7 linked regions of the Canis lupus familiaris genome follow. The protein of the gene in region 7 interacts with the protein of the main gene of each other region in a pairwise test. Links are inferred from orthologs where the notes say so. Each region holds a gene or a part of one and is shown on either strand. Other genes may lie near its edges. The genes, in order: CNNM3, SH3RF2, CSN3, RUSC1, NEU4, ZBTB32 and RBPMS.

Region 1 (4,201 bases), on a different chromosome or scaffold from region 7:
TCATTTCTTAGCTGGACCCCCTACTCACTGTTCTCCATATCAGTCAGTGCTCTGCTCAAAGTCAGCGCCCTGGAGGATCCAGTCCAGCCATCCCAGAGTCTCAAGCTGGGATGTGACAGGGGCGGGCTGGAACCCACCTCTGCACACTCCAGGGCTGGCAGTCCTGGCCACCAGGCCACAAGAACCTCTACTGCCTCGAGTACTACAATGGCCCAGATGGAGTACTCACCACCAGAGATCAGAGACCCCACCTGGGCATCCCCTCCCCACAGAGGAACTGCATTACCACTTTCTGGGAGAAAGAGCCACGAGCACCCAAGAGATGCTCTAGCAAGCTGTCAGAGCTGCACAGCAAAGCCTCCCCACTCAATCCTCAGGTACAGTAAGGATAGTAACTGCCCAACTTTTCAATACCACGCCCTGACTAATTATACTCTTGTGGCCTGGGGCCAGCAGACTTCACAGCTGCCAGGAAGATCAGGGGATCTGCTCTCTTCCCAGCCTCACATTATGCAGCCTTTAGGGTCAAGCCCATCCAGAGCCCTGGGGTGTCCCCCGTCTTCATCCTGTAGGAGTGTAGGAGAAGCATGGCTGGTGGACAAAGAGCAGCCACGCTCTGGGGAGCACACCCACGCCTTAGGATGGAGAGGACTACAGAGGAACCCATACCTTCACACTTGGAGGTTGGGTCTCCATGTTTACCCATGTGACCTTAGAGTTGCTCAGATAAACCAAGGTAAAAGGAGGTGAACTGTGGAGTTAAGGGAGACGCCAAAAGATCTCAGTCTTAGAAAAGAGGAAGTTAAAAAAAAAGAAAAGAAAAAAAAAGAGAAGAGAAGAGAAGAGAAGAGAAGAGAAGAGAAGAGAAAGAGAAAAGAAAAGAAAAGAAAAGAAAAGAAAAGAAAAGAAAAGAAAAGAAAAGAGGGAGACTAAATCATCCATAAGGTTGCTTCTGGTGAAATCAAAGTGGAAGTTTCTTCCACACCTGCAGAAAATCAGGCATCATCCCTTCTTCTGTTATCAGCAAGGCAGCAGCCCATCAGAGACCTTAAAACCATGATCGCTGGAAACTTCACAGGCCCAGCTGTTTTGACACTGTGTGCGCAGGTGATAACATCCAGGTGTCTGAAGACTATCCTCCTTTCTATTTAAGAGTATAGGCCTGTTACAAAGCCAAAGCCCACAAAAATGACCCTGAAGCTGGTAAGTCAAATGGACACGGCTCCCCAAATCAGGCCTACCAGGAAAAGGGGGATTTTGCTTTCTACGGCGCCCTGAAGGACAGCCTTTAGGTATCTCAAGAGGCCACTGAGCCCTGTGAGGCCATCATCTCAAAGGGCCCTGGGAGGGAAGGATGGGACCCTTTCCCTCGAGGCTTCCATAACTCCCTCCCCCCTTTCTTCCAGCGGAGGGCGCTGGCATTCGTGTCCCCTCCCCGATGTCCCGCAGTTACCTCGTTTGAACTCCTCCAGGACGGCGTCCAGCTTGGTGTCGTTGAAGACGAAGTGGAGCGGATGGTTGTAAAAGCGGGTGATGGTGCTGAGCGGCGTGCAGTCTTCGGGATCCACGAAGGCCAAGTCCTTGAGGTACAGCATGTCCACGATGTTGGAGCGCTCCTCCTCGTACACCGGGATGCGCGTGTGGCCGCTCTGCATGATGCTGGCCAGGACGCCGAAGTCCAGCACGGCGCCGGCGTCCAGCATGAAGCAGTCCTCGAGCGGCGTGAGCACATCCTCCACGGTCCGACAGCGCAGCACGCCCTTGCTGAGGTCGCTGTAGGGGTCGCCGCCGCCGCGGGCCAGCTCCAGCACGCGCTCGCGCAGCCGCCCGGGCCGCGCCGCCAGCTCCAGCAGCTGGCCCACGGGCAGCGCCACCGGCAGGGTCAGCAGCACGGCCAGGCGGCTGAGCAGCAGCGCGCGCGGCGCCAGCGCCAGCGCCCAGCGCCCGCTCACGGCGGCCGGCACCACCTCGCCCACGAGGAACACGAGCCCCGCGCTGCCCAGCACGGCGGGCACGGCGCGCTGGCCGGCCGCGCGGTACAGCAGCACCGCCAGCGCCGCCTGCGCCAGGCTGGCCAGCAGCAACAGCGCGCCCAGGGCGCAGCCGGCCCAGCGCCGCGCGGGCTCCAGGCGCCGCGCCGCCGCACGCTCGGCCTCCGTGCCGCTCTCGCGCAGCACCTGCACCTCGGCGGGCGCCAGCGCCAGCGCGCTCAGCTGCAGGCCCCGCGCCAGCGCCGCCAGCGCCAGCAGCCCCGCCGCCCCCAGGCCCAGCGCCCAGGGCGGCGCCGCCTCCTCCGCGGCCGCGCCGCCCGGCTCCACGCGCACGGCCAGCAGCGCCGAATGCGGGCGCACGGCCTCGGCGCGCAGGCGCAGCAGCGCGCTCCACTCGCCCGCGGGGGCCGCCGCCTCCCGGGCCGCCGAGCCGCCCGGCTCCCCGCGCACCGCCAGCAGCCCCGAGTGCGGGCGCGGGGCCTCGGCGCGCAGGCGCAGCAGCGCACGCCACTCGCCCGCGGGGGCCGCCGCCGCCGCCTCCTCCTCCTCCCCGGGCGTCGCGGCCGGCCCGCCCTCGGGGCAGCCCGCCCCCTCGGGGGCCACCCAGGACCAGGAGCTGTTGGCCAAGCCCGAGCCGAAGAGGCGCAGGCGGAAGGCGGCCTCCGGGGCGGCCCGCGCCTCTCCCCCGCGCGCCCACCCCGCGCCCGCGTCTCCGTCTTCCTCCAGACAGACGCCCAGCACTCGCGGGCCCGGCGCGGCCTCCCCGGCGGCGACGCCCAGGCACAGCGCGGCGAGCAACCAGCCTAGACGAGCCGCCGCCGCCGCCGCCGCCGCCGCCGCCATCGCCCGCTGCCCCCTCTCGGCCTCCCGCGCAGCCTACCCCTCCGCCTCCCCCGGCCCAATGGTCGCCGGCCTTGGCGCCTCCTCCGCCAATAGGCGGCGGGCGAGGGCGGGCCTCAGGGTCGGACTAGGCTGCGCCGGGAGTAAACAAGCGGCGGCGCGATCCCGGGGCGGGCCGGGGGCGTGGGGCGTGGGGCGTGGGGCTGCGGGCGCCGCGGGGCTCGGCCGCGGCTCCCGGGGCAGGGGGGTGGCCGGCGACCTGGGCGTCCCGTTCCCGCGGGCCCTCGGCGCGCCCCGAGGCCGCACCTGCGCTCTGGGAAGCCGGGGCGCGGAGCCAGAGACGCCAGTGTGTGGCGGCCGCACCGTTTCTTAGGGAAGGGCTCCGCGCACCGCTGACCTAGGGGCCCCGACGTCGGGAAGCTCAAGCTTCTTAGGGCTGATTGCGCCCGACTGTGCTCTGTGGGGCTGGGGACGTGAGACCTAGCCCTTTGCCTTCAAGGACCTTGCATTCCTGCCAGAGAGAACGACGGTAATTCTGTAAACCCACGAAGTCGCTACCTCATTGGATCCTCAAACTACTTTTACAGGAGAAAAGTGAAGCGTGCCTTAGGGTGGATGCAGGATCCAACACGACCTACTTACTACCCCGGTCACCTTCCCAGCCACGTTAGCAGAGGGGCAGCGCGGTCAAAAATTCCTGTTACCGGTCACTCTACTTCTAGCAGATAATCCTTGGGAAAATATCTTCTCGGGAACAAGAACTATTCAACAGGATCCTTACTAGAGAGTTATTTTAGAAGGCAATATGGTTCCTTGACGGTATGGAATGCTTTTCACCCGTTGTGCATGATCTTTATATGACCGGAAGGAGACAAACTGAACAAGTCTTTTCTACAAGGATCCAGATTGTTTTTGTATATTTTCTTTACATTTTTATGTATTTTCAAATTTCCTAACAAAAGTAGACTTTGATAAGGGTGCACATCTACATGTCATTTAAAATTTTCCTAAGGATTCTACAGAAACACATTTGCTAGGTCATGGAAATAGTAAGAAAAAGTGTAGGCACTGTGACCACAATTAAGTAAAACGGGTGGAAGGCAACATGCAAAAATGAGCAGACCCATTGTGGATAATCAAAAGAAAAAATACTTTGTGAAAAACTCCTCAAAGGATGGTGAGAATGTCTCTTCAACGTTGTAAATTCAGCGCTGTGACTAGGCCAACCACGTCTCCATGTTTTTGGTTTTTATTATCTAGAGGGTGCTATGCCTCACTTACGAGCCAGCAGAAGCAATGACACTACTGAGCCTTTCCACTGGATCAGCATGCCTCCTTTGAAGAAAAAAAATTATGGATTCACACTTCTG
Region 2 (4,344 bases), on a different chromosome or scaffold from region 7:
ATTTATTAAAAAAATAAATAAATTAAAAAGAATAATGAAATGTAAAAAAAAAAAAAGCTGTTCACTTTAGGTAAGACTTCACAGAAGGCAGCCTTGACTTTCTAAGTATGCCAGTAACCCAGGTCACAGCTTTCTGTGTCTGCTCTGACACACTGACTCCTGGGGTGACAGTGCACATAATCCTGCTGGACTCACAAGGACTGCGTCCCTCCTCTCAAGATGTGTCCTTAACACAGCTTCCCACAAAAGGCTTGCAGCAAGGTCAGATAGAGTCCTCAGGATCCAATCGCATGGCTGGATAGAATGATTCGCGTTATCCAAACACCAAAAGAGTTCCTATGATCTCCTGTGCACCACTGCCGGGCCTTTGTGGTTATGGCAGCCACCGAGGTGCATTTTATGTATGTTTGATTCATTTTGTAGAGTTAGACATCTGCAGGGCTCCTGTACACACGTGTTGTACTTCACAGCCCAGCCTTCCTATCAATCAGTCCACCCACAGATATGCTTTCCTCCTGCACAGTCTTTGGGTGTTCAAGTATCTTGATAACTTCGAACAGATCATGAATGAGCACTGTCATAATAGCACTTCAGGACTGGAGGTGGGAAGATGGAGTTGGGTAAAATTAAAACAAAACCTGACATTTAACTTCTCAAAGATCTCAAAAGCAAAAAGCAGCTGGATTTGTTTTCTCTTTTTCCCCCTCCTCTGCACATTTCCTGTGCACTGGTTTGGCCTCAAATAGCAGAAGTGAAAGGTGAAAAATAATCACGAAGGCTTTCTTTGTGCTAGTACCTTCTAGACAAGCAGCACGGGGAGACCTCAACAATTCTAAGAATTTCTGGATGGATAAGATAGGCTCAGGATTCCACCAAGTTTCAGTAAAATGATCCCTGCCCATAGAAACTTCTCTCTGGGGAATCACTGGCAGCACTCATTGAAATGTAACTATAGGAAGATAATTCCTAGCTGCTGGTATACACAAATCCAACCTCCAAAGGGACACAATACGAACAAATAAGATCTTTCTTACCCCATCCATGTGGATTCTGATATTAGGCACCAGTCGGAAAGGGCTGGACTGCAGACCTCTGGGGTCAGTCCTGCTTTTCCTGCTGTCCTGCGAGGTCAGCACACCAGGCCTGCGGAAGGAGCCCCCTCTTCCAGAGCTCTGCCCTGAGCGCACACCATCTAGAAGACGCACGAGCAGCAGGTTGGCTGGCAGAGCTTCGATGCTGCAAAACACCAGGGTCCTGCATTCGGGGCACCTCAGCTCCTTGTGAGCCTTGAAAATCCTCTGGAGACATGGTTTGCAGAAGGTGTGCTGGCAAGGGAGGACTTTGGCTGTGACGTCGAGCTTTTCAAAGCACACGGGGCACTCCAGAAGATCAAGTAACGTCAAATCATCCATTTTATTTTAAAACTCCAATCCTGATCTGGAGGGGCAAAGTCTGCATGGTAGGGTGAGCTGAGCCAAGGAGGCAGATCCAGTCTCTTGGGAGTGTCAGAATTCCTGCCTGTGTGAATGAGAAAGGAAGAGATGAAGAAAATGGGACTGCTCTGAGAGGTATATCCCACCTACATGGAGGCAGTGTCTCATAAGGCAGTTTGCAAGTACTTTGTTCCAGCACCCAAGTTTCAAATGACTCATTCTGATTCAGTGCTAGCAGGTATGAGGCTCAACTCCTGCCTGCTGGAGGATCTCAGGGAGCATTCTCCATGGTGACTGACTACTTACTCATTGCTTCTGTGTGTGGAAGCAAGAGCAAGGAGACAAAACTGGCTGGTTGAGGTGGCCTGAGGGCTCAAAGGGGGTTCTTTTCCCCACCAATCAGTTTCAGTTCTCACATCAAGGGCCCCCCCAAAATGCAATTTCTGTGAAGTCATCTAGTCCTCCTTCTTCCCCTAGGTTTATCTGTTATCTGCAGAACAGACAAGTTTATATAGACAAGTTTATCTGAATCTCATGCAGATGTAGGATTAGCTCCTTCATTATGCATCTTCCCCCATTAGTTTGTTCTAGCAACATATGAGAAAAAGTTCTATGAGAAACACATTTTCAAAAACTGTTTGCCTTAACCACAGGCCAGGATGCTTGGAAGCTTTTTCCCCCCCTCCTTCTCTCCTTTCGTCCCTCCCTCCATCCCTTTCTTCCTTCTTTTCTCCCCCCTTCTCTCCCCTGATTATTCTAGCCTCAGAGACAAGATTCCTCCCACAGGGTGAAGTCACACAGCCTGTTTAGTTACTTTGACAAGTGTTCTCAGTTTCATCTGAAACAGATCCCAATTCTGGATTGTGGTCACAACCAAAAAAAATCAAGATGGAACAATGTATACAGGTGTGAGTATGTGTGTGTGTGTGTGTGTGTGTGTGTGTGGTCTGAAAACATCCTTATTCCAGAAAGTTTCCTTTTAGACGTCTGAAAAGAGGTGTCCAGTTGAAAGAGGTCTCCCAGGAAGAGGTCACCTGTCCCTCACAAATGCCAAAATTGTGCACAGCAGCCCCAGAGGTTTGGGAGGTTCAGCCCAAGGGCGGGTGGCCCGCCAGTAAGCAAAGCAGACATGACACACCAGGAGGAGAGAGGGCGCCTTGCCTTCCTGAGACAACTCTCCCAAGGCGTCAGTTCTGGGGAGATGTGTGTGTGTGGGGGGGCACTAACCTTGAGCACAGAACCCCAGCTGAGTTCAGCTCAGCGCGATCCTCCATCCTCGGCTTGGCCAGGCTCCCTCCAACTCGCTTCCTTTTCCCCAAGAGCCGCTGCCGCGCTTTGAAAACTTTAACAACTCTGAGTCTTACTCATTTCAAGGATCGCCTTACTCAGCCCTGTTAACGCTTTCACTGCCTGGCAGGCAGCAGCGCTTTTCTCGGGAGTTCACCCTCTGCTGCCCATCGTTCCTTTGTGTAACTGAGTTGATTTCTGGGAAAAGATTAGAAGGGACAAAATATAAGCCAGCCCCTAAGGCTAAATATTTGCAGTTGATATTTTCACTTTTCTCATTTTGTCTCCTATCCCAGAAGTTGAAACATGCTCGGTTTATAAACATGCCAAGGTGACTGTGTGTATTTTAAACCTTTATAAGGATTTGCTGAAAAGGTCAAACATATTAACGGTAGCTATAACAGAGATAAGCCCGCCACCTAAAAAGTACTTCTCCTTGAAAAGCAGTCAGTCCTTGAATTTGTACATTTGAGACGGACCTTTAGTGATCTCTTTTGCTCAATCTCTTTAAATTAAAAAAAAAATCGTATCATGGTAGTACATGTACACCTTTGAAAAATCACAGCACAGAAGGGTTTTGAAGAAGGAATGGTTTCAGTCTCTCTCCCTGCCCCATGCTTGCTGGAATCTTTCCATAGCTCCAAATAATGCTAATACTTTGATGTCTTGATTTATCTGTAACACATTTCATGTAAAGTTACATAGTTATTCCATAAAGTAAATACTCATGATAATCTTACCCCAGAGTAGCCCTTATCTGTGCTAAGCACTGTTCTACTTTACCTATATAACTCAATCCTGTTAGTAAGCCAGTAATACACTATACTCTTCTTTACCCTCATTTGCAAATAAGGAAACTGAGACACAGAGAGGTTAAATAACCCATTCCAGGAGTCACAGCCAGCAAGAGACAGGTGTTCCGTGCTCCGTACTACCATGTCCTATGGTGATACAGCTTTAAGGGGAGGAGATGGTTGGAGGGAGCTAAACTGCATCTGGGGATGGCAGGAAGTCAAAAGATAATGACCCAAGCTGACCAATCAACTTCCCTTGCAGATGAGCTGTGCCCAGAGAGATCAAGAGATTCCTTCAAGTTGCCCAGTAAGTTAGGGGCAGAACTGGGACTAGAAACTGGTATTCTTTTTTTTTTTTTTTTAAACTAAATCTCTTCTTTCAACTTAAGGATGACAGTTCTTTATGATGCAGAAAGCACTTAGCTACAGCTCCATGGGAATATCTTAAGAGGGGACCAAGACGCCAGATAACAGGTGGTGGCGGATTACATGTTTTACAAAATTTTTCCATGTTATTTCTGAAAAAGAAAAGATGCATGGAGCTCACAACAGAGGAGAGCATTAGGATGCAGCAGATGAAGTCATCTGTCCTCTGAGCACAGAGACCTGATTTGAGTACATGCCAATTTCAGAAACCATTTTCAACTCTTTTTCTCATCTCTCTTTATGAAGGTTTTTTTGGGCTTCCACAACATCAAATCCAATTCTGTTGCCTGTTCTCCTTCAATTAATTTCCACTTTTATAAATTCTATGCTCATCAGGAAGTCTCTTATCTGAGGCCCTTTGCTGTCCCTTACTTTTTCCCACTTGGTAAAGCTGAGCCCTCTCC
Region 3 (3,047 bases), on a different chromosome or scaffold from region 7:
GATCCCCGGTCTCCAGGATCAGGCCCTGGGTGAAGACTGCGCTGAACCGCTGAGCCAACTGGGCTGCCCTAGAGTTAACATTAAATTTAAGTGCTCCACAGTATTGCTAATTTTAGATAATTCCTAGGAGCCAATTTGGGTATAGGCAGGCTATAGATACCACAGCTACAAATACAGATCCATGGCAAAATTACAGAAGCTGATGGAGTTTCCAGGGTTCCCAAGAGTCACTTTGTGGTCCCTTGGATTGGAAAATGTTAACTTAATCCTTTTCTAGTTCTGATGACATACTTGTAAGTTTAGATGTTCTGGTGTCATACTAGAGAAGACATTCTTAATCACCGTTAGACCATGGACCACTTTGAGAATTGGAGAACATTATGAACTTTGCCCCCAGATAAACTTATTTATTCAAATTCACACTAAATTTGCCTTGGAATTTCAAGGTTTCAAAGATCCCTGAAGTATAATCCACAGACTCCTCAATTAAGAGATCCGCTTGCATTCAAATGGCTTTATTGTGCAAGAAACAAAAAATTAAATGTGATCTGGATGTAAAATGTGAGATGAGAAGAGAAAGGAGCCAAATTCATCAAAATCACATTCTCTCTTGAATGAATTTAGACGAGTGACCAAAGGAAGAGTTTGGAGTAGTCATTTGGTTTCAGCAAGACCTATAAAAAATGGTGAAAGTTGAGGAATTTAGCTAATAGTATGTTAATAGTTCTCATGTAGACTCTTATTTAAGTGATTTGTCTCATATATCTGTTTCCAAGGATTTTATAAATTTAAATATTTAAACTTGGCTTATAGTAACTGAAAATAATTGACTTTGCTTAATATTTACACTAAGACAATGTCCTTAATATGCTTCTTTATAAGTGATATTATGCACTGTTTTTAACTTAGAAATTTAGGTTTATGAGTTTACTCATAACTACTGAAATAATGATTATTTCATTAGAAACGGAATCATGTAACATTTTGAATCAATAAAATATGTAATTTTACTACTTGCTTTCATGTTGCTTCTATTAATTTTCTTATTTTATTTTCTAAATTTTAATAAGTCAAAAATTTATCTACCATCTCACTTTCTTTTTCCTACCATATGTCCTATTAAATAAGAGCTAAATAATATAATTTGCACATACATTTGTCTAAGAAAACCATAATGTGTTTTCCCTATTTCTGTGCATTAGACAGTCTGTGTAGAAATAGCACAGTAATTTTGCTTTACTATCTGAAACCAGACAGGTTTGGTTTGGTTCCCAGTTTTGAACTTTTGAGTTGTGGTAATTTATTTAATATCCATGGGCCAGTTATTTTTTATTTGTGAATTCAAGATAGTAATATAATCTGTCCCATATGGTTGCTATAGGAGTAATCTGAGATAACTATGTAACATTTCTACCATTTAGTAAGAACAAGATATTGGTTAAAAGTAAATTTTAGCATTTACGGATTTTATTCTTTTAATACATTTTGTAGACTGATCATTTTTACAATCTTTCCACAATATGCACTGTCACTTGAACCCTATAGAACCCAAAATTAAGAGAAAATGAAAGTTCAGAGAGAGCAATGACTTGCCTAAGTCACAAAGATGAAACAAATACCCTCTCTGGTCTAATACTATTCCCTTGTATCACAGGTCACTGTGTTGTATTTCAGGTTATATAACGTGTAGACAATGTGATGCACTGAAAATATTTATTTCAAAGAACCTTAAAATTTTACAACTTTCTCCCCCAAAGTACTTCACATCCTGGTTATTCTCTATTTTATTTATCTTTCCCTTTAATTTCTTTCCATAAATTTCAGTTTAGATTTTGCCATTATTCATTGATCCAAATAATAAATGGAAATGTTGGCATCACATTTAAGATTCTGAAAGTATTCCTTTAGTATATATGTGCTTTTAAAACTAGGAATTCCAATTTTCCCATGGGTTCATCTTAGAATACAAGAAATTTTGAGTGCCTGGCTTCCTGGACACTTTCAGAAATGATGTCTGAAATAAAGGAATGCATGGAAAATGTACTTCCTTTTGTTTGATTCAGGGCAAAATTAAGAGTGCAAGAACATGGTTAAATGTTTAAAATGTATTTACCCTCATATTCTATATAAATGTTCTAAAAATTTATTTTTGAAATAAGAAAAATCGTAAGTTTAACATAATATGGTACTCTACTTTCCTTGTGTATGAGTAGGAATGAAACAAAACTAGTAGATTCTAAGAGTGTTTCAATTATTGAAATAAAGTTTGCTAATAAAATCTCTAATTTTTCTGTAGTTTGTAAAAGAAGATATTTCATTTCTTATTGGAACAGAATCTAGTATATCAATGCTATGGCACCACCAAATTACAATTATAATGAACTCATTTTGCTTACTCTCATAATAAGCTTAATTTATCTATTATACTATTTTAGGTATTATGATTATACTGATAAATACATGAATCTTGTCTGTACTATTTATTTTTGTCTTTTTCTCATTTACCTGCGTTGTCTTCTTTGGTGTTTCCTCAGAGTTTTTAGACTACAGGTGAAGTAACTGGAACTGTGGTAGTCTCAGGTGTGCTTGTGATGGTGAATTCTGAGGAAGCATCTGAAGTGACTGCAGTGTTCACTTTTGGTTCAGTGAAAGGAATAGGTGTAGCCTCAGCAGTAGCAATGGTATTGATGGTAGGGATGCTTGTCTTATCCTGAATTTTCTTTGGGGGAATGGCAATAAATGATGGATGTAGTTGTGGGCGATGCATCATAGTGGGTGGGTAGGCATTTGGCAGGACCTGCCATTGAGGAATTTGGGCATGTGTCCTAACTGCAACTGCAGGTTTTGCATAAAATGGATAAGGCACATATTGATGATTAATTGGTTCAGCTGGTCTATGTGGGTAGTAGTTGGGTTCATAGTGAGAAAAGCTATTTAGCACATAATGAATAGGGATATACTTGACAGTTTTCTGATTGAACAGTCTTTCATCATTCTCACGACACTGTAAAAAGAATACATCATGCAGATGGCATTATTGTAGGTTA
Region 4 (2,783 bases), on a different chromosome or scaffold from region 7:
TCGGGTGAGGCGGCGCTGCCCCGCCCGCCCGTGGGGGGCACCTGGCCCCGCGCCTCGAGGCCCGGGCGAGGGGTCGCGGGCCGGGGCCTGTGCGGTGCTGGGGTGTGGGGGGCACAGTACGCCCTGCCTCGCTCGGGGGGTGAGGGGAAAGCAGGCGCCGGACCCCAGTGGGCCCACGCCCGCGCCTCCCAGCCTACCCCCCTCCCCTCCCCAGGTCGCCTCTTTCTCCGTGTCTCCTCCCACTCCCTTGGTCGGTCTGTTTGTCTGTCCATTGGTCCTGGCCCCCCACGTGCTCCCCGGGCTGCCCTCCCCCCACCCCGGCCCATTGGGCGGGGCGCGCGGGGCTGTCCGGGCGGAGGTTGGCGCGGGCCCCGGAGGGGGAGGGGCAGCGAGCTCGGGGCGCCCCACCCGGCCTAGGGCCCTGTCCCTGTCCCTGTCCCTGCTAGTTTCCGGCCCCGGGTGCTGCGGGCGACCTGGGCGCCAGCCCGGTGCCCTCGGGTCACCGTGGTAAGTGCCGCCTTCTTCCTTCGCGGCAGCCCAGAGTTCCTGGTCGTTCGCCGGTGTCCCCGGGGCCCAGCGACGGTGGATGGCAGAGGCCCAGAGCGGGACCGGCCAGCTGCAGGAGCAGAAGAAAGGTAGGACGCCCGGACCTCTGACCCCAGCCCTTGGGTTGGCTGCTGCTCTGTTAGGCCTCGGCGCCCTGTCGGCCTGTAGGAGCCTGGGTGTCCGGCCCTGGGGTGTTTGCCACACAGACGTGAGCTCCCCACCCGCCCTTTGCAGGGCTCCTGATAGCTGTGAGCGCCTCCGTGGACAAGATCATCTCGCACTTTGGGGCGGCCCGGAACTTGGTTCAGAAGGTGAGGGCGGCGGTGGGGAGGCTGTGGGGGCCCCTGAACAGTAGGTGGGGTGGGGGCAGCAGGCACCTCGGACAAGCGGGTTGTGCCACCCCCAGGCCCAGTTGGGGGACAGCCGTCTGAGCCCAGATGTGGGGCATCTGGTGCTGACTACCCTCTGTCCGGCCCTGCACGCCCTGGTGGCCGACGGCCTGAAGCCGTTCCGGAAGGACCTCATCACGGGGCAGCGCAGGAGTAGCCCCTGGAGCGTGGTGGAGGCTTCTGTGAAGCCAGGTGAGGTCCCCTGAGGGGGGTGCTGGGGTGGGCAGGCCGGATGAGGTAGGGGTAGGGGCTGGAGCTGGTGGGGTGGGGTGGGGCACAGGTAGGCAGGGGCAGGGCAAGGTGGGGCAGGGGCAGGGGCAGGGGCGGGTGGGGTCCTGGCTGATAGTGCGGTGTCCACAGGTGCCAGCAGCCGGGCGCTGGGGACTCTGTATGGCCAGGTCAGCCGTCTAGCCCCGTTGAGCAGCAGCCGCAGCCGCTTTCACGCCTTCATCTTGGGCCTCCTCAAGTGAGTGGCTGTGTTTCTGGTGCCCCTCCCATGGCTTGGGGGCCATCGGCGGTCACGGGTGGAGGGACGCAGCGTCCCTGAGGTGGCCTCCCCTCTCCGAAGCCCTACGCCGGCCTGAGCTCCTGTCCGTTCCCCTCCAGCACCAAGCAGCTGGAGCTGTGGTTCTCGAGCCTCCAGGAAGATGCAGGTCAGTCGCCCATGGGTAGGGCAGTTTGCCCACTAGGGGCAAAGAGGGGGGCACTGTCTCTTCTGTGGGTCCCCCTGGTGCCAGAGGGACCTTGATCCTCATTTCCAGTTTGGTGACTTAGACTTCTAGTGTGTCCTGTTCCCCCCTAGCAGGAAAGAGCCAGATCCTCCCTGAAACCTCCAGAGTCTTGCATGTTGGGCCTCTTCCTCCTTCCCAGGCCTGGGCAGTGTTTTTTTCCAGCTCCTTACCCCAGGGCCCTCCTTTTGCTGTGGTCACCTCCCCTCCCCCCAGGAAGTCTCCCTCATCCTTGGGGACCTTGTTGGGAGGGTCCCAGGGAGCCCACTTCCCACATTGTGTCATTGAGGGGCCAGGCCTCCTTCCTGCCATTCCGGGGTCACCACTCAGCCCATGGGCCTGGGGCTGACCTGGGGGCTGACATCAGCCTGCTGTCCCCAGGCCTGCTGTCCCTCCTGTACCTGCCCACTGGCTTCTTCTCCTTGGCCCGGGCTGGCTGCCCTGCCCTGGCCACGGAGCTGCTGCTCCTGCTCCAGCCACTGTCTGTGCTCACCTTCCACCTGGACCTGCTGTTCGAGCACCACCACCACCTGCCCCTGGGCCCCCCACCCACCACTGCCACCCCAGGCTCACCTCCTGCCCTGCAGCAGACGGTGCACGCAGTGCTGCATTGGGGGGGGCGGCTGGCCCAGAGCCTTCGGGGGGCCCCTGGGGATACGCCTTCTGGCCCTTCGGCCCTCGAGAGCACCCCAGCGCCGGGCAGCTGGTGGGAGCAGCTGACCCAGGCCTCCCGGGTCTATGCCTCTGGGGGCACCGAGGGCTTCCCCCTTCCCCGGTGGAGGGCCTGGCGTCCAGGGACGGCGGCTGGAGGCCCCCACGACAGGCCCCTGCCCACAGAGGAGGCCACGGCCGGCCGAGGTCCGTGGCTGGGGAGGCTGTTTGGAGTGCCTGGGGGCCTGGCGGAAGGGGACGGAGGAACGCTGAAGTCCAGGTACTGCCACCACCAGTCTCCTTCTAGGCCTCTGATCCTTTCTCAGAGCCCTGTTTGCCCCAGGGGGAACCTCGGGGGATCCTTGAGGCCTCTTCGTTGTGTGAGAACCCGCAGGGCACTCTCTGTGTTGCCTCTTGGCCTCAAAGATGGAGATATTTACTGCCTGCCCTTTACCGAATCTCAGGGGGC
Region 5 (4,003 bases), on a different chromosome or scaffold from region 7:
GATGTTGCGAGTAAGAGGACACTGGACACCGAACACCGCTTCCCCAGCCCCGCACAGGGACGGGGAGCCACGGAACCCCAGGATCGCTCGTCCACGACCCCGAGGGTCAGCACAGCAGGGAAACCGGAGGCCGCCACGTCCCTGAAAGGCAGTGAGGCTTTACGGGGAAGAAACCACAGAGAGACCCCAGTCACACTCAGCGCCTGGAGCATTGGGCGGGCTCCACGGGTTCCGGGAAAGGGGCGCCCACGTGCCCGCTGCCACCAGCCGCCAGCCCAGGGCACACACTGCCCCCTCCCCGCGGCACAGACGTGGCTCGGCTCCCAGCTGCATGTGGGGCAGGAACTCGGAGGTGCGGTTGGAATCGAGGGTATTTGCTTTTGCCTCTGGTTGGCAGGAATGTAAACTGGTTTTGTCTCCGCAGAAGGAAATTCGGGATACTGTTACACTGTAAAGGGCACACGGTTGGAGGGAGGCGTGTCGGCAAACAGCCGGGAAAACCATGCAAACACCCGAGTCTCTGCGCCTAGGGAAGCCTAGGGGCACAGATTCCGGCACAGGACTCCCTTCAGCAGCCGGACGGAGAGACACCCAGGCCTTGGCAACGACAGGTGGCCGCGGGGGGCAGGGGCCCCTGCCACGGAGGAAGCCCAGGAGGCGGACCTTCTGATTTGTCAAGAGAAGCTGGAAATACAGGTTTTCCTGTGAAATCTCCACATTTAAAACGGCTGGTGTCTCATGCAAACATTTATCAGGGTGGTGGTGGGGGCGCGGGGGGGTGAGCAGGTGGAGGGGATAGAGCTCCAAGCTTCCAGCTTCGGGCCGGCTGAGGGCTCCGCGTAGAGGGGCGCAGCTGTGTTGTCTGCGGACACACGGTGGGGTGGCCGCGTGCTCCTGTCCCCTCAGCACAGACGATACAGCCTCAAACTAATAGAATATCGTTTGTCACAAGCAAAAAAACCAAAACAGAGCGCCCAGCTCTCTCGTGTGTCTGTAGAGGAGAGGGGATGGGGGCCTAGGAGGAGCCGTTCGCTCCCCTCCATGAGTGGACAGGAAAGATCATTACGAGCATACTTAAATTTTTTTTGAGTATTTTTGGGAGCGTCTATGAATAAAAGCTTTTCAAACGGTGAAGTGTTTGTCGTTCAAGCATTCCTCGGTGTTAACAACGTAAAACAAGCAAAGCCACACCCCAAGTCCCCGAGCAGAGGGAATGAGGCCGGTGTGTGGGCCGCCTCCTCCCGCGGTCCCAGAGGGCCCCCCTGCACGGGCCGTGCGGCAGCTTGGGGGCGCAGCGGGAGGCCCGAACCCTGGGCACAGAGGAAGGGAGACGGTTTGGGTGAGGCCCTGGGAAGTGGGGGGTCGTGTCTGATGTGGAGACGCTGGGGTCCAGATCGAACGACCAAGAGACGTGGTCGGCGTGCAGAGGTGAAAGCCCAGGGGCAGGACGCGGGCGTGGGAAGAGCTGTCCCAGCCCGAGGTGGGAGGGGGCGAGGGAGAGCCCAGTCGCCAAGTGACTTTGGGAGCCAGGGGGCCATCTGTGGTTAGGAGAGGGTCATTTAGCACCGGCTACCGGAACCCGGGTCCTGAGCCCCTCCAGATGGACACTGGGGGTTGTGTGCCAGGGGAGGAGCACCCACATGTGTTGCGGGGAGAGAAAGCCAGTTTCCTAAGGAGTTTCTACAGGTTCAGGTGGACTCGCAGGTCCTGGGGGGTCAGGCTACGGTTGCCCGCTGCCCTTGGCAAGGTGTCCCCATGGAGGCCGCCGAACCCCCAGAGGAGGGTCACTGTGCCCTCCTCCAGGGCCTCAGTGGGCTGCCCGGAGTGAGGACATGCACTGTCTCACATCCTCGTCTCCCCCTTCCCGTCCACAGCACAGCCTGGGCTTGCATCTGGGCACGGGTGGCCCAGGGTACTGACCTGGGGGTCTCCTTGCTCCTCTCCCCAGGTCTCCCGAGGACCTGAGCAGGTGGGTGGGTAGGCGGTCTCCAAAGGAAGCTTGGGTTGTAGGCAGTAAGGGGATCGAGGGGAATACCTTGTCCCAACTCCCGAGCCAGGGTGGATGGCTTCCTTTTATGTAGGGTCAGGAGGACTATTCGGGAAGGGGAGCCTTGTCATTGTCTGTAGAGGCGTAAAGTCACGCGTGTGCCTTAAGGAAACCTGCCGAAACGTAGTCGTCGTGTGTGATGTCCGTGCGGCTCGTGTCCTCCCAGGGCAGGGGTCTTAGTGTTATATGAGGTCAGGGCGACTGTGTGGTCGCCCGTGCCCCGTGGTCCATCTGCACAGTGAGTCGGGGGTGCGGCTCCCACAGTTCGGATGGTCGGGCCCCCAGAGCTCTTCCTCCGGGCCAAGGTTATTGCGGGGGGCAGGGGGGCCAGTTTCAGTGTCCATCCCGGGATGCGGCACCTGCTGGGTCTTTGCCCGAGTTAAGAGACCAGCCGGAAAGAAGAGCTTCAGGAAGAATGTGGGAGGGAGGTCAGCGGGTGCACGCGGGTGGGCAGTCCAGGTCAGGTGCTGGGGTCTGTCCCGTGGTCCTGCTGTCAGAGGGCAGGTCAAGGGGGTACAGGTGGGGCGCAGGGAGCCTGAGCAGGACGGCCCTCCAGAGAGCCCTTTCACCCACACCTGGGCTGCTGAGGGCCCCCCTGACGCCCCCGGGCGGCGGTCACCTGGACACGGTCACTGGTGAAAGGGCCCAGCTGGTGGGAGTCCTGACCAGGCCACGGGTGGGAGTCCTGACCAGGCCATGGGTGCTAGGGTGGGGGCTGTCCCCTCCAAGTCTGAGCCGGCCACCTCACATGGACACGGGGCTGAAGCCCAGTGAGAGCCCAAGGGGCCTGCGTTCTGGGTGTCCGAGCCGTGCTGGGAGGGTCACGAGTGCTCACTTGGGTTTCCAGGGGCAGGTCTCTGGAGGAGGCTTGGAGGCAGCAGAGATCTAGGGGTCAGCTGTCAGCTGCGGCCCTTGGCACCCGCGGTCCCAGCCCAGCCTTGTTGGAGGTGAGCCCCTAGTTCCAGGCACTGCAGGGCAGAGAGGGCTTCCCCCCCTCCCGCCGTGCCCATCTGCACCGCCCTCTCTGGGGGCCACACAGCTGGCAGGACGCAGCCCTGGGACCCCGCCAGTCCAGGCTCCCGCCCCGCACAGCCAGCCCTTGTCCCTGCTGCGCTCACTGGGTTGGAGAAGCAGAAGCAACTGCAGCTGCCCCGCAGCCAGCTCCACGACCTTCCTGCGACACCCGGTGAGTCCCCTCCCTGCTCGCCTGCCCCCGGCCCCTCAAGGCTCCTCTGTCCCCCCAGGCTGCCCTTGGGCAAGGGCGGGGCACACTCGCGGGCTGAGGGCCGCCCGGCCATATGCTCCACACGGTGTCCCCGTGGGACAGTTTCCTGGTCAGAGCGGCAGGTGCCCTGCAGGGCCCCGGGGTAGCCGCGGAGAGCCGGTGACCTGGCTGGGGGGCTGCGGGTCAAAGTGGGGGCGGGCCAGCCTGCAGGAGTGTGGGGCCCGGCTCCCCCAGGCCAGTGGTTTGTAACTGAGTCCTGGCCCCCGGCACGGCCCAGGACATTCACCCAGACTGGAGACCCTTCCGGAAGTGACAGGGCCAGGAGGCCCCTCCGCCAAAAGGCCAAACACGTATGCAAAACCCTTTGCTGTTGATAGGCACGCATTTAAGTGACTTTAAGTGACCCGCAGCAGGCTGGGGTCCTGACCTGGGCGGGGGCGGAGACCTGCTGATAGGAGGGTGGGGGTCGGGGGACAGCTGTCTGGAGGGTGGGATGTTGGGCACAGCCATCCTACCCTGCTCACACCAAGCCTTGGAACCTACTGATGTGGCCAGACCTGGCCAGCTACCCCTGAGGAAGAGAACTCTTCCTCCTAGGTTGAGGGGGTCGCCCTGGGACTTTGGGGTTCTGCAGAGACCCGGGCCCACATAGGATGGCCCGGGGTGCCCTGTCCTGCTCTGTGCAGGCGGCAGTGTGAGCAGCTGGTCTGTGCGGCCTCCATCTCTCCTGC
Region 6 (4,174 bases), on a different chromosome or scaffold from region 7:
GAAGTCCCCCATCACAGTCTCAAAAACCTTGTCCACCTTCTACTTCCCAGGCTGACTGTAGGAATCACCTGCAGTTGTCTCCTGGGGTGGACTCAGGAAACCATTGATTCTGAGGACACAAACCTGCATCTTGGGAAGGTAGAGTGGATAGGAAAGACTAGATAGGGCATACCTGGAAGAAAGTATGTGGGAAAAAGAGTTGACTTTTGCCCCTCATTCCTAATACTCATATTACTGAATAAAGTTTAATGTCTGGTATTTTTTATTCTCATAGGCTTGACCAGAGCTCCTTCATATGCCCCTGCAGGTACAACTCAGCTTGATATAAAAATGTCAACGCAGCAATACAATTATGGATTCTCCTTAAATATAATTAAAACTAAGCCACAGAATAGGCTGATTAGCGGGGTGATTATTTGTTTTATGACAAATGTTCTCCCTTTATCTCACTTATTTCAGATACTACTTCCAAAGTCAAGTTTAAAAAGATTCAATTTAGAAAAATTATATGAACTTTCCACTTTTTTCAGGAATGCATCTCTTTCTTCAAATCAAAGTGGTTAAAGTCCCCACAGCATTTTATAATGCAGATGAAGACCAATTATCCAAATCTTACCTAAACTTTCAAATGCCCACTCTTTCTAGTGAAGTACATCCAACACATACCGATACATACCACGGAGTAAATTAGTTTCTTTCTTCCCCTCAATCTGTATTTCATATAACTTAAGAACCAGTGTAATTATAGCCAGGTGAGCTGCAGCTAGGTCATAGAGACCCTATCATAGCATATCTTTTGTGGATGAAGTGGAAAAAGAACTAGACTAGAAGTAAAACAATTTAGGTTCCACTACATCCTCTCTGTGGGTGGCCTTTCTTTTCAGTCCTAATACGGGGGCTAACTCTTCTAAGATCCTCAATTTCCTCACAGGGACTGCTTTCAAGAGCAATACTGAATGCCAATATTGTGTTAAACCTGCTCTGACCCCCTCTGGCTGTGGTCCCCCCTTGGGCCAAGGATCCCAAGAGCATCGAGGAAGGGCCCACTGGGAACATGTGTCCCCCAGTTCTAGGCCATGCTCTGGGAACTTGGAACCCTGGACTTCCTCACCCAAATGGCCTCCTTCCAGGACAGCCCTCAACCCTGGGTCTATATTCAGGAGGGTGAACTGTGAAACCGATACACACACCCCAGGCCCTAGTTGTGTGTGAGGAACAGGTAGACTGAGCTCAGACATGCAGACTAATCTATGAGATGCCTTGAAATGTGCACCAACACCAGGTGTGGGAAGAAAAGGGGAAATTTTCATTTTTAGTCTTGCCTCAGCCCCATGAATAATACAGGAACCAGCTTTATTCCAATGGCTCTTAACATAGGTTAAGGGGATCACCATCCCTTTTAAAATTGTAAGCCACAGAATCAACTCTTTACATCAGAAAATTGTGGATACTCATACAAGGGATTCACAGGCTGGAGTCAGTCCTTGGACAGGTTAGATACTCCTTGTTTATCCTTGTGGCTGCTTTGCATGCCCCCCCCCCAAATACAACATGCATATAGTTTTTCTTGTGATTTCCAGGAGCTCCAAAACCCTTAAATCCACTCATAGACCACTCCCCCTTGCACCCCCCTACCCAAGGTTTAAGAATTCTGGGTGTACATGAAAACACTCTGAAAGCTTCAATACCACATAGAACTTGTCCAGCTGAGTGAAATTAGATATCAACACCCTGTCCCATAAGAATTAAAAAAAAAAATCTTCCGTAATGACAAGCTGGGTGATTTCCTAAGGAGCAGGAAATCTCACACACCTCTTCCTGTGCTCTAGGACAAGATCCATCTTCCCTATGCATCTGGCTCCATTCTTACAGCCTGGTATCTTCTGAGAATGACCAGGGTTTCAGAAAGAGCAGACCAAAAGGCCCTAATATGACCCAATCCTGGTTTTTTTTAGAGCCACACGGCAATAATATTTCATGGAGGGCAAACAACCTGAGATTCAGAAACTCCCTCCTCAAGAACCTCCAGAAGACCTTGGGCCTAACCTCCTGGCCAAGTTGTCTATCCTGGACCTGATAGTGGAAAATCTGCACCTCAACCTAGAGTCCAGCGACCCCCAAAACCTTGCAGCTGCATGTTCTTAGCACAGCCTGGGTGCAATGGCTGTTGACAACTGCCCATTGGACTTCCAATCTCGACAACTCTCTCAGCCCAGGCTGGATCCAAAGACCCCAGAAAATCTCCCAAGAGCACACTAGTTTCATCTTTTGGCCAGTAATGCCCCGCCCCCCCCCCCCCCCATAACCTCTGGAGAGTCACAGGCCTCCCCTTCCAGTCACCACATCCAGACTCAGGCCAGAGACCTCAGGCAACCTGTCACCGATCAGAGGCCATACCTCACCGCCAACGAAGCCACGCAGAGCTCCAAGGGCCTCCCACGGCCACACAATACACTTCCAAATCAAGTCAGCCTCAGGGACTGTGGACCAACCCAGGGCATGTTGGCCTCTGCCCCAGCCCGGGTCCAAAGGTGCCTGCCCAGGAGGCCCCACTGCCATCCTTGCCAGGAAAAGGGAGTCCCCGGGGACTAGAGTCCTCAACTCTCGCTTCTCAACCCTCACGACGACCGCTCCGGCCCTCCCACCCCAGCTTGGCTTGGGCCAGTCCCAGGCCTGAAGAAGCGTAAGAGAAACCATGGCACTCACCGACTCGGGCCCTGTGCCTCCTCCCACAGTCACATACACCGAGGGCGGCTCTAGCTCGAGTGGCCGTTGGGGAGCGGCGAGTGGGGAGCGGCGCGAGGCCCGGAGCTCGAGGCCCTGCGCGTGCACAGCTCACGGGTCTCGCCTGGTTTCCGCCGCGGACGCCGATTGGCTGCCGCCGGCCGCCTCCTGCTGAGCATGCCCAGCATCCTCGGAGGCACCTCGGACAGCTCCCCGTGCTCCGCCCCCCCGCCCCCGCCCCCGCCCCGCTCCCCCCGCCGATTGGCTGCGGAGCTCCCTCCCGCCCCCCTGGCTCTGCCGAGGGGCGGGGCCTTGAGTCCGATGGGGATGGGTCGGTGGGCTTGGGTTTCAGGTCTCTGAGGCGGAGGTCTCACCCTCCAGCCTGTCCCCTCCCCTGCTGAGCGGCTGCGGAGTTTGCCCCTTCCCACCCTCTCTCTGGAAAGACTTGGCCCGGAACCTCCTTGGCCTCAATAGTCTTGGAAGCTGCCTCCGCAAGGGCTCAGGATTCAACGGCCTTCTTGCTTCTGTCTTGGCACCCTGACGAGCTCTGTTACACACCCTCTCACCTCTCTCTCAACCCCTGACAGTCTATGCAGTGTGTGTCTGTGATTGGTCGGGAGGCCCTCGAGAGTCGGCCAGGCTTCGGGGTGCCTGTGGGCAGCTCCCCTTTCCCGCCTCTTGTCCTGCCCACCACTGATTGGTTGCAGAACGCACCCCGCCTCACCTGGAAGTATGCGGGGACGAGGGAGGCGCAAGAGGGGGCAGTGCCTTGACCCGCGATTGGTCTAGATGCTCGCGCTTCAAATGCTCATTGCCTGTCAGCTGAGCCAGGGATAACTGCGTACTTCACGTACTAGCCACCCCCCCCCCCGCCACACACACACACACACACACACACACACACACACACACACACACGTGGAGAGGATGGCCCATTGCTCCGCCCCGCCATGAACCGGCCAGGGCTAAGAGCTCAGCCAGCTGGCTTCCCATTCATGCCGGGTTTGGTGCGGACAGGCGGCGAGCTCGCGGCGCGCGGGGCAGGGAGCAGCCCCCGAGCCGGGCTGCGGCGGCGCTGCTGATTGGCTGGCCGCTCTCTCTTCCAAGGGCTTTGGGTTCGCGCTCGGACACAACCAATGAGGAGCGAGGGCGCTTTAAGGAGGCGGGCGTTGCTCGACCGCTTCCACTTCTGATTGGCCCAGGGGCTTGCTTGATTGATCCGAAGGCCGGGAGGCGGGAGCCCAGGCCAACGGCTTCAAGCGGCGGTTGGCTTTCGCTCCCTGCGCTTCAAGCGGCTCAGCTCCGGGGCTTGCTGGAGTGTTTTCTGGCGCCCACCACCCCGCAGCTAGCTGAGGAGCTGGAGACGAAGGACGGGCGCTGGGGGACCCTCCAGAGGGGGGCCTGGGACAGCAGGTGCAGACGAAAGTCGGGACGGAGACTGGCCAGCGGG
Region 7 (4,127 bases):
TGATCCCAGGACCCCAGGATCATGACCTGAGCCAAAAACAGATGCTCAACCACTGAGCCATCCAAATACCTGCAATTTTATTTATTTTTGAAATCTCATCAGTTGTCTCATTCTGAGCAAGCTCTCTATCTAGGTGGGTCTCCCCTGCAAAATAATGCCTAAAGACTACTACCATGAATCTGCCTAGTGTCCTTGTGGTGGCTCCCTATGCTGAGACACTTCCACTTATTCAGTCCCTCCTGCAGGGGCTTTGTAAAGATGTGATGTCATTCAAGGCTGAAAATCAATCTCTGATAAGACTGTGTTCATTTATTCAAAAATATTCACCGAGAGCCTACTATGTGTTAGGCACTGTCTAGATATTGGGGACACAACGATCAAATCAGACAAAGATCTTCTTCTAGCCCTTATTTTTTTTTTTTTATGCCAGATGTCTTTGACTTTTAACAATGGACAAAGTGCTGGCAAAAGAATCAGGTTCTACATTTGGAATTAGGCCACATTTCCCTGGACGGAGGTAGCAGCAGCATCCTGGAATCATACAGCACCTTCCACCGACTTGTAAGTGGAGTCTGACTGGAATCATCAATGACTAGATCAACTGTCACTTTTCTTGGGCCTTTGCCAGGCTCCAGCAAGACAATATCTTTCTGTGGAGTGTATTCAGTACCTGGCAATGGCCCAGGAGGGCAAAGGGCCTGTGTTTATTGGTGGCGCAGGGGCCCAAGACCACCACGCAGCCATTGCTCAGGAACACATTGCCCCCTCGTGGTTCTTTACGTAATTGAGGGAGGGACTGGGATTGGAAAGGCTCTCCAAATTTCCAGATTAATCGTGGTGGCCTTTGCCTCTTCTGAACTTCCATTGCAAGTTCAACAGTTTCTTGGTTTATTTTCATCCAGGATACGCTTTCCCCCCACCCCCCCCACAGAGGCACATGACATCCTGACAGCAATTAAACCTATTTATCAAAAGCTTCAGACTTCCCCCACCCCCAACCCAAGAAAACCCCAGTAAGTGAATGCAAGAATTACCACTCTGTTTTTCTTCACAACGCTCGTCACACAAGTATTTTCTCTGCTTTCTGCTATTTGAACCAGGATCGCTGATCATGTGGCCATGGAGTTGTTTTGGGTGTCTCGTCTCCACAACACCAGTTAAAACTCCCTAGAAGCAGGAGCCTTATCTTCACCCCCACCTCCACCCCACCCCCAGCAGCACTTAAACCAGTACAGGGTGAAGAATGTCTGGCGGGGAGGGGGGAGAGCAGAGAAAGATAAACAGTGAAGCGAGCAAATAAATAGAAGTTGTGATTGGTACTGTGCTGGAAAGGAACAGCATGTCGTGTGAGAGAATTCCTGGGCGTGGGAAGTGAGGGAGAATCTTCTGATAGAGGCCCTTTTAAATTTATGTGTTTATGATACAGGAATGGAGAAGCTCTCTATGGCCCCGGGAAAATGGAAATTTCCTTAATAATAATGCTAGTTTCCCTGTTCTGTAAACTTACACCGGGCAGGAATGAGTGCTGGGTGCTCTAGCTCTACCAACCTATAATCTCCTCTAATTACAACCCCCCTGGGAGGTAACTATAACTACTCCCATTTCGCAGGTGAGGAAACGGAACCCAGGCAGTCCTCTGGCGCGTGGTGCTTAAACAGGTACTGGGTGCCCCCCTCCCAGAATGCTGAGCCCTTTTTCTTCCTTAAGGGGCTTTGACCCTCCGAAGATCATCTGGGTTGGCCTCCAGCTCGGCTCGCCGTGAGCAACAGTCACTTAGCCAACAAGTATTTATTGAGTGCCTACTGTATACCCGGTAGCGTATTTAACTAGCCGTGGGATTATCAAGGTAAACAAGGACACGGTGAGGCTGGCGTTGCGTTGTGGGGAGGCTCCCCCGGAAGGGTGAGGGAGGCAGGCAGGTAAGCAATTCCAGGACGGTCTGCTGAGGGCCGAGAGAGGGGCCTGAGCAGAGGGGGGCGCGAAGCCTAGCAGAGGGCGAAGGCCGGGGCTGAGAGCCTGGGAGGGCCCGGCGTGGGAGGTGGGTTTGAAGCTGCGCCCTGGAAACGCCGGCCCCGAGCCGGCTGCCCCCGGACCTCGCTCGTTCTCTCGCATCCTGTCATTTCGAGCTGCCAAGTAGGAAGGGAGGAAATAGGTCTGAGCCGGTGCTGCAGAGGCAGGGCAGGCTGAGCGACGGGGGCGCGATCCCCACGGCGGTAGCCCACGGCGCGTCCCGGGCGTCGCGCGGGCCCGGCCCGGCGCCCCGAAGCCCCTCTCCAAGCGGGCGCGCACCGCCGCGCGAGCTCGCCAGCTCCGGGGGCCCCCGGGGGCCGGGGAAGCGGGAGGACCTGGCCTCCCTCCCTCGTCCGCCTCGGCCCCTGCCCTCCGACCTCCCGCCGAGTCGGGGGGCTGGGGTCGGCCGCTTCCGCCCGCCGCCCCCCGCCCCTCCCCGGCGCGCGCCATCCGGCCGCGGGCGGCCCCTCCTCCCGAGGGGGGCTTCTGCGTCCCGCGTCCCGTCCCTCCGGGCTGAAGCTGGCAGCCCACGTCTAGGGAGGGCGGAGGGAGGAGGAGGAGGAGGGGGAGGGGGAGGAGAGAGGGGAGGGAGGAGGGCGAGAGAAAGGGAGCTGCTTGGATCCCGTACTTCTCAGAGCCTGCCTGGAGCGCGCACTCAGCGGCTCTCCGGGTCCCAGCGTCCCAGCCGCGCCCCGCACCTCCTCCTCCTCCTCCTCCTCCTCCTCCTCCTCTTCCTCGGGTCTGGGCACCCCTCGCCCCCTCCCTCCGGCCCCCGCCAGGCTCGGGCAGCGGCCGCCCCCAGCCCCGACGCGGCCACATCCCCAACTCTCTGGGCTCCCTCCTGGGACGCGCGCCCGCGCCCCATCCTTTCTTCCTTCCTTCCTTCCTTCCCTCGCGCCCGCCCGCCCGCCCGCGCTCTCCAGGTCTCCCTCCCGGTCCCGATTGTCTCCGTCCCCGCCGGCCCGCGCCTCGCCCTGCCCCGTGTCTCCCGCGCACTTCCTGGGTCGCCTCGCCTCGCCTCGCCGCGGAGCCCGAGCCGCCGCTGCCCCGGCTCCAGCCCCCGCAGCCCGCGGCGCCCGCCCGAGGGAGCCCCGGCGCCCGGGGAAGGGACAAGCGGGCGAGCGCGCCCTCGCCCCAGCCCCGCGCCCCAGCCCTGCCCGGCGAGGAAGGACCGGGAAGATGAACAACGGCGGCAAAGCCGAGAAGGAGAACACCCCGAGCGAGGCCAACCTTCAGGAGGAAGAGGTACCGGGGGGCTCGCTGCGGCGGGGGCACGACCTGGGCGCCGCAGTCCGGGGTCTGGGCACGGCCCTCGCCGCGACCTGTGGCCCCGGGCCGGGGGGGGGGCGGCGGGGGGGGTCTCTTCGCAGAGCGCGTTTCTAAAGTTGCGTAACTTTGAGGACTTTTCGGAGTTTGCTAAGTATAATGCTCAGCTTTGTCTGCGTGGGATTTTAAAAGCGGAATCGAGAGCTGACTCCCGGGTGACCTCCGGTTCCTGGGACCCAGAGGGTCGGGACCGAGTCTGCGACCGGGGCTGGGAGTGGGGGGTGTTTGTGCGTGCGGCGTGAGGAAGGAAGGAACTCGGGGAAAGTTCTCGGCGGGGAGACACCTTCAGTTCCCTGCCCCCTCCCCCTCCCTTTTCAGTGTTAAAAGTTCTCGGTGCGATCTCTTTCCAGCTGAGGCATTCTGGATTAATAGATAACTCATCAGCTGCATTCTTCTCTGATGAGTCAAAGACCTCGAATCTGGGTGATTAGGGTTTGTAAATTTTAGGGGCGATGCGGCTGGGGTGGGGTGGGGGAAGCCGAATAAAAGAGTTTGAGAGTTTACAACTCGCCAAGAGATCATCTTGGCTGTTTTAATAGCACTTTGACTCCTGAGCGTGAATTTTATGTGGTGCGTCCGTAACAAAGTTAAAAACGTTGCGGCGGCGGAGCGTTCCTTGGGGTAGAAACCCCATTTATCCGTGGGAGGGAACACCTGAACGGACGGTTTCAGAATTTTGTAGTTAGGATATTTGTGGTATTCTTTCAAGTGGCTTTGTTCCTGCAGGTATGTTACCTGGAGTCCAAGAAACAGTACATGTTTCGCCTGCTTTTTAAGTTCTCCCATAGCTG

What was found.
Region 1: the proteins of RBPMS (region 7) and CNNM3 interact in binary tests that used the Homo sapiens proteins (3 or more experiments, as listed by UniProt). The two-hybrid records come from large-scale screens. The link is inferred for Canis lupus familiaris from reciprocal best matches to the Homo sapiens genes RBPMS and CNNM3.
Region 2: the proteins of RBPMS (region 7) and SH3RF2 interact in a two-hybrid assay, tested with the Homo sapiens proteins (2 studies listed by BioGRID and IntAct). The two-hybrid records come from large-scale screens. The link is inferred for Canis lupus familiaris from reciprocal best matches to the Homo sapiens genes RBPMS and SH3RF2.
Region 3: the proteins of RBPMS (region 7) and CSN3 interact in binary tests that used the Homo sapiens proteins (3 or more experiments, as listed by UniProt). The two-hybrid records come from large-scale screens. The link is inferred for Canis lupus familiaris from reciprocal best matches to the Homo sapiens genes RBPMS and CSN3.
Region 4: the proteins of RBPMS (region 7) and RUSC1 interact in binary tests that used the Homo sapiens proteins (3 or more experiments, as listed by UniProt). The two-hybrid records come from large-scale screens. The link is inferred for Canis lupus familiaris from reciprocal best matches to the Homo sapiens genes RBPMS and RUSC1.
Region 5: the proteins of RBPMS (region 7) and NEU4 interact in a two-hybrid assay, tested with the Homo sapiens proteins (2 studies listed by BioGRID and IntAct). The two-hybrid records come from large-scale screens. The link is inferred for Canis lupus familiaris from reciprocal best matches to the Homo sapiens genes RBPMS and NEU4.
Region 6: the proteins of RBPMS (region 7) and ZBTB32 interact in a two-hybrid assay, tested with the Homo sapiens proteins (3 studies listed by BioGRID). The two-hybrid records come from large-scale screens. The link is inferred for Canis lupus familiaris from reciprocal best matches to the Homo sapiens genes RBPMS and ZBTB32.

What each region holds. Positions count from the first base shown.
Region 1 is NC_049231.1:46,209,021-46,213,221, forward strand, and holds the start of CNNM3 (metal transporter CNNM3), read right to left. Parts: upstream 2,835-4,201; coding exon 2,491-2,834; intron 2,380-2,490; coding exon 1,454-2,379; intron 1-1,453. UniProt on the Homo sapiens protein: Probable metal transporter.
Region 2 is NC_049223.1:39,550,766-39,555,109, reverse strand, and holds the start of SH3RF2 (E3 ubiquitin-protein ligase SH3RF2), read right to left. Parts: upstream 2,815-4,344; 5' UTR 2,661-2,814; intron 1,519-2,660; 5' UTR 1,413-1,518; coding exon 1,035-1,412; intron 1-1,034. UniProt on the Homo sapiens protein: Has E3 ubiquitin-protein ligase activity. Acts as an anti-apoptotic regulator of the JNK pathway by ubiquitinating and promoting the degradation of SH3RF1, a scaffold protein that is required for pro-apoptotic JNK activation.
Region 3 is NC_049234.1:60,686,142-60,689,188, reverse strand, and holds the end of CSN3 (kappa-casein), read right to left. Parts: intron 3,005-3,047; coding exon 2,540-3,004; 3' UTR 2,506-2,539; intron 675-2,505; 3' UTR 518-674; downstream 1-517. UniProt on the Homo sapiens protein: Kappa-casein stabilizes micelle formation, preventing casein precipitation in milk.
Region 4 is NC_049228.1:42,221,855-42,224,637, reverse strand, and holds part of RUSC1 (RUN and SH3 domain-containing protein 1), read left to right. Parts: intron 1-536; coding exon 537-635; intron 636-780; coding exon 781-857; intron 858-952; coding exon 953-1,127; intron 1,128-1,295; coding exon 1,296-1,401; intron 1,402-1,541; coding exon 1,542-1,588; intron 1,589-2,044; coding exon 2,045-2,594; intron 2,595-2,783. UniProt on the Homo sapiens protein: Associates with the adapter-like complex 4 (AP-4) and may therefore play a role in vesicular trafficking of proteins at the trans-Golgi network. Signaling adapter which plays a role in neuronal differentiation.
Region 5 is NC_049246.1:51,660,786-51,664,788, forward strand, and holds the start of NEU4 (sialidase-4), read left to right. Parts: upstream 1-1,190; 5' UTR 1,191-1,339; exon of another isoform or gene 1,340-1,428; intron 1,429-1,874; exon of another isoform or gene 1,875-1,969; intron 1,970-2,894; 5' UTR 2,895-2,994; exon of another isoform or gene 2,995-3,086; 5' UTR 3,087-3,233; intron 3,234-3,254; exon of another isoform or gene 3,255-3,549; 5' UTR 3,550-3,622; intron 3,623-4,003. UniProt on the Homo sapiens protein: Exo-alpha-sialidase that catalyzes the hydrolytic cleavage of the terminal sialic acid (N-acetylneuraminic acid, Neu5Ac) of a glycan moiety in the catabolism of glycolipids, glycoproteins and oligosacharides.
Region 6 is NC_049222.1:117,766,403-117,770,576, forward strand, and holds the start of ZBTB32 (zinc finger and BTB domain-containing protein 32), read right to left. Parts: upstream 2,807-4,174; 5' UTR 2,707-2,806; intron 1-2,706. UniProt on the Homo sapiens protein: DNA-binding protein that binds to the to a 5'-TGTACAGTGT-3' core sequence. May function as a transcriptional transactivator and transcriptional repressor. Probably exerts its repressor effect by preventing GATA3 from binding to DNA.
Region 7 is NC_049237.1:34,777,312-34,781,438, reverse strand, and holds the start of RBPMS (RNA-binding protein with multiple splicing), read left to right. Parts: upstream 1-1,327; 5' UTR 1,328-1,609; intron 1,610-1,707; 5' UTR 1,708-1,846; intron 1,847-2,933; 5' UTR 2,934-3,189; coding exon 3,190-3,255; intron 3,256-3,720; exon of another isoform or gene 3,721-3,735; coding exon of another isoform or gene 3,736-3,759; intron 3,760-4,127.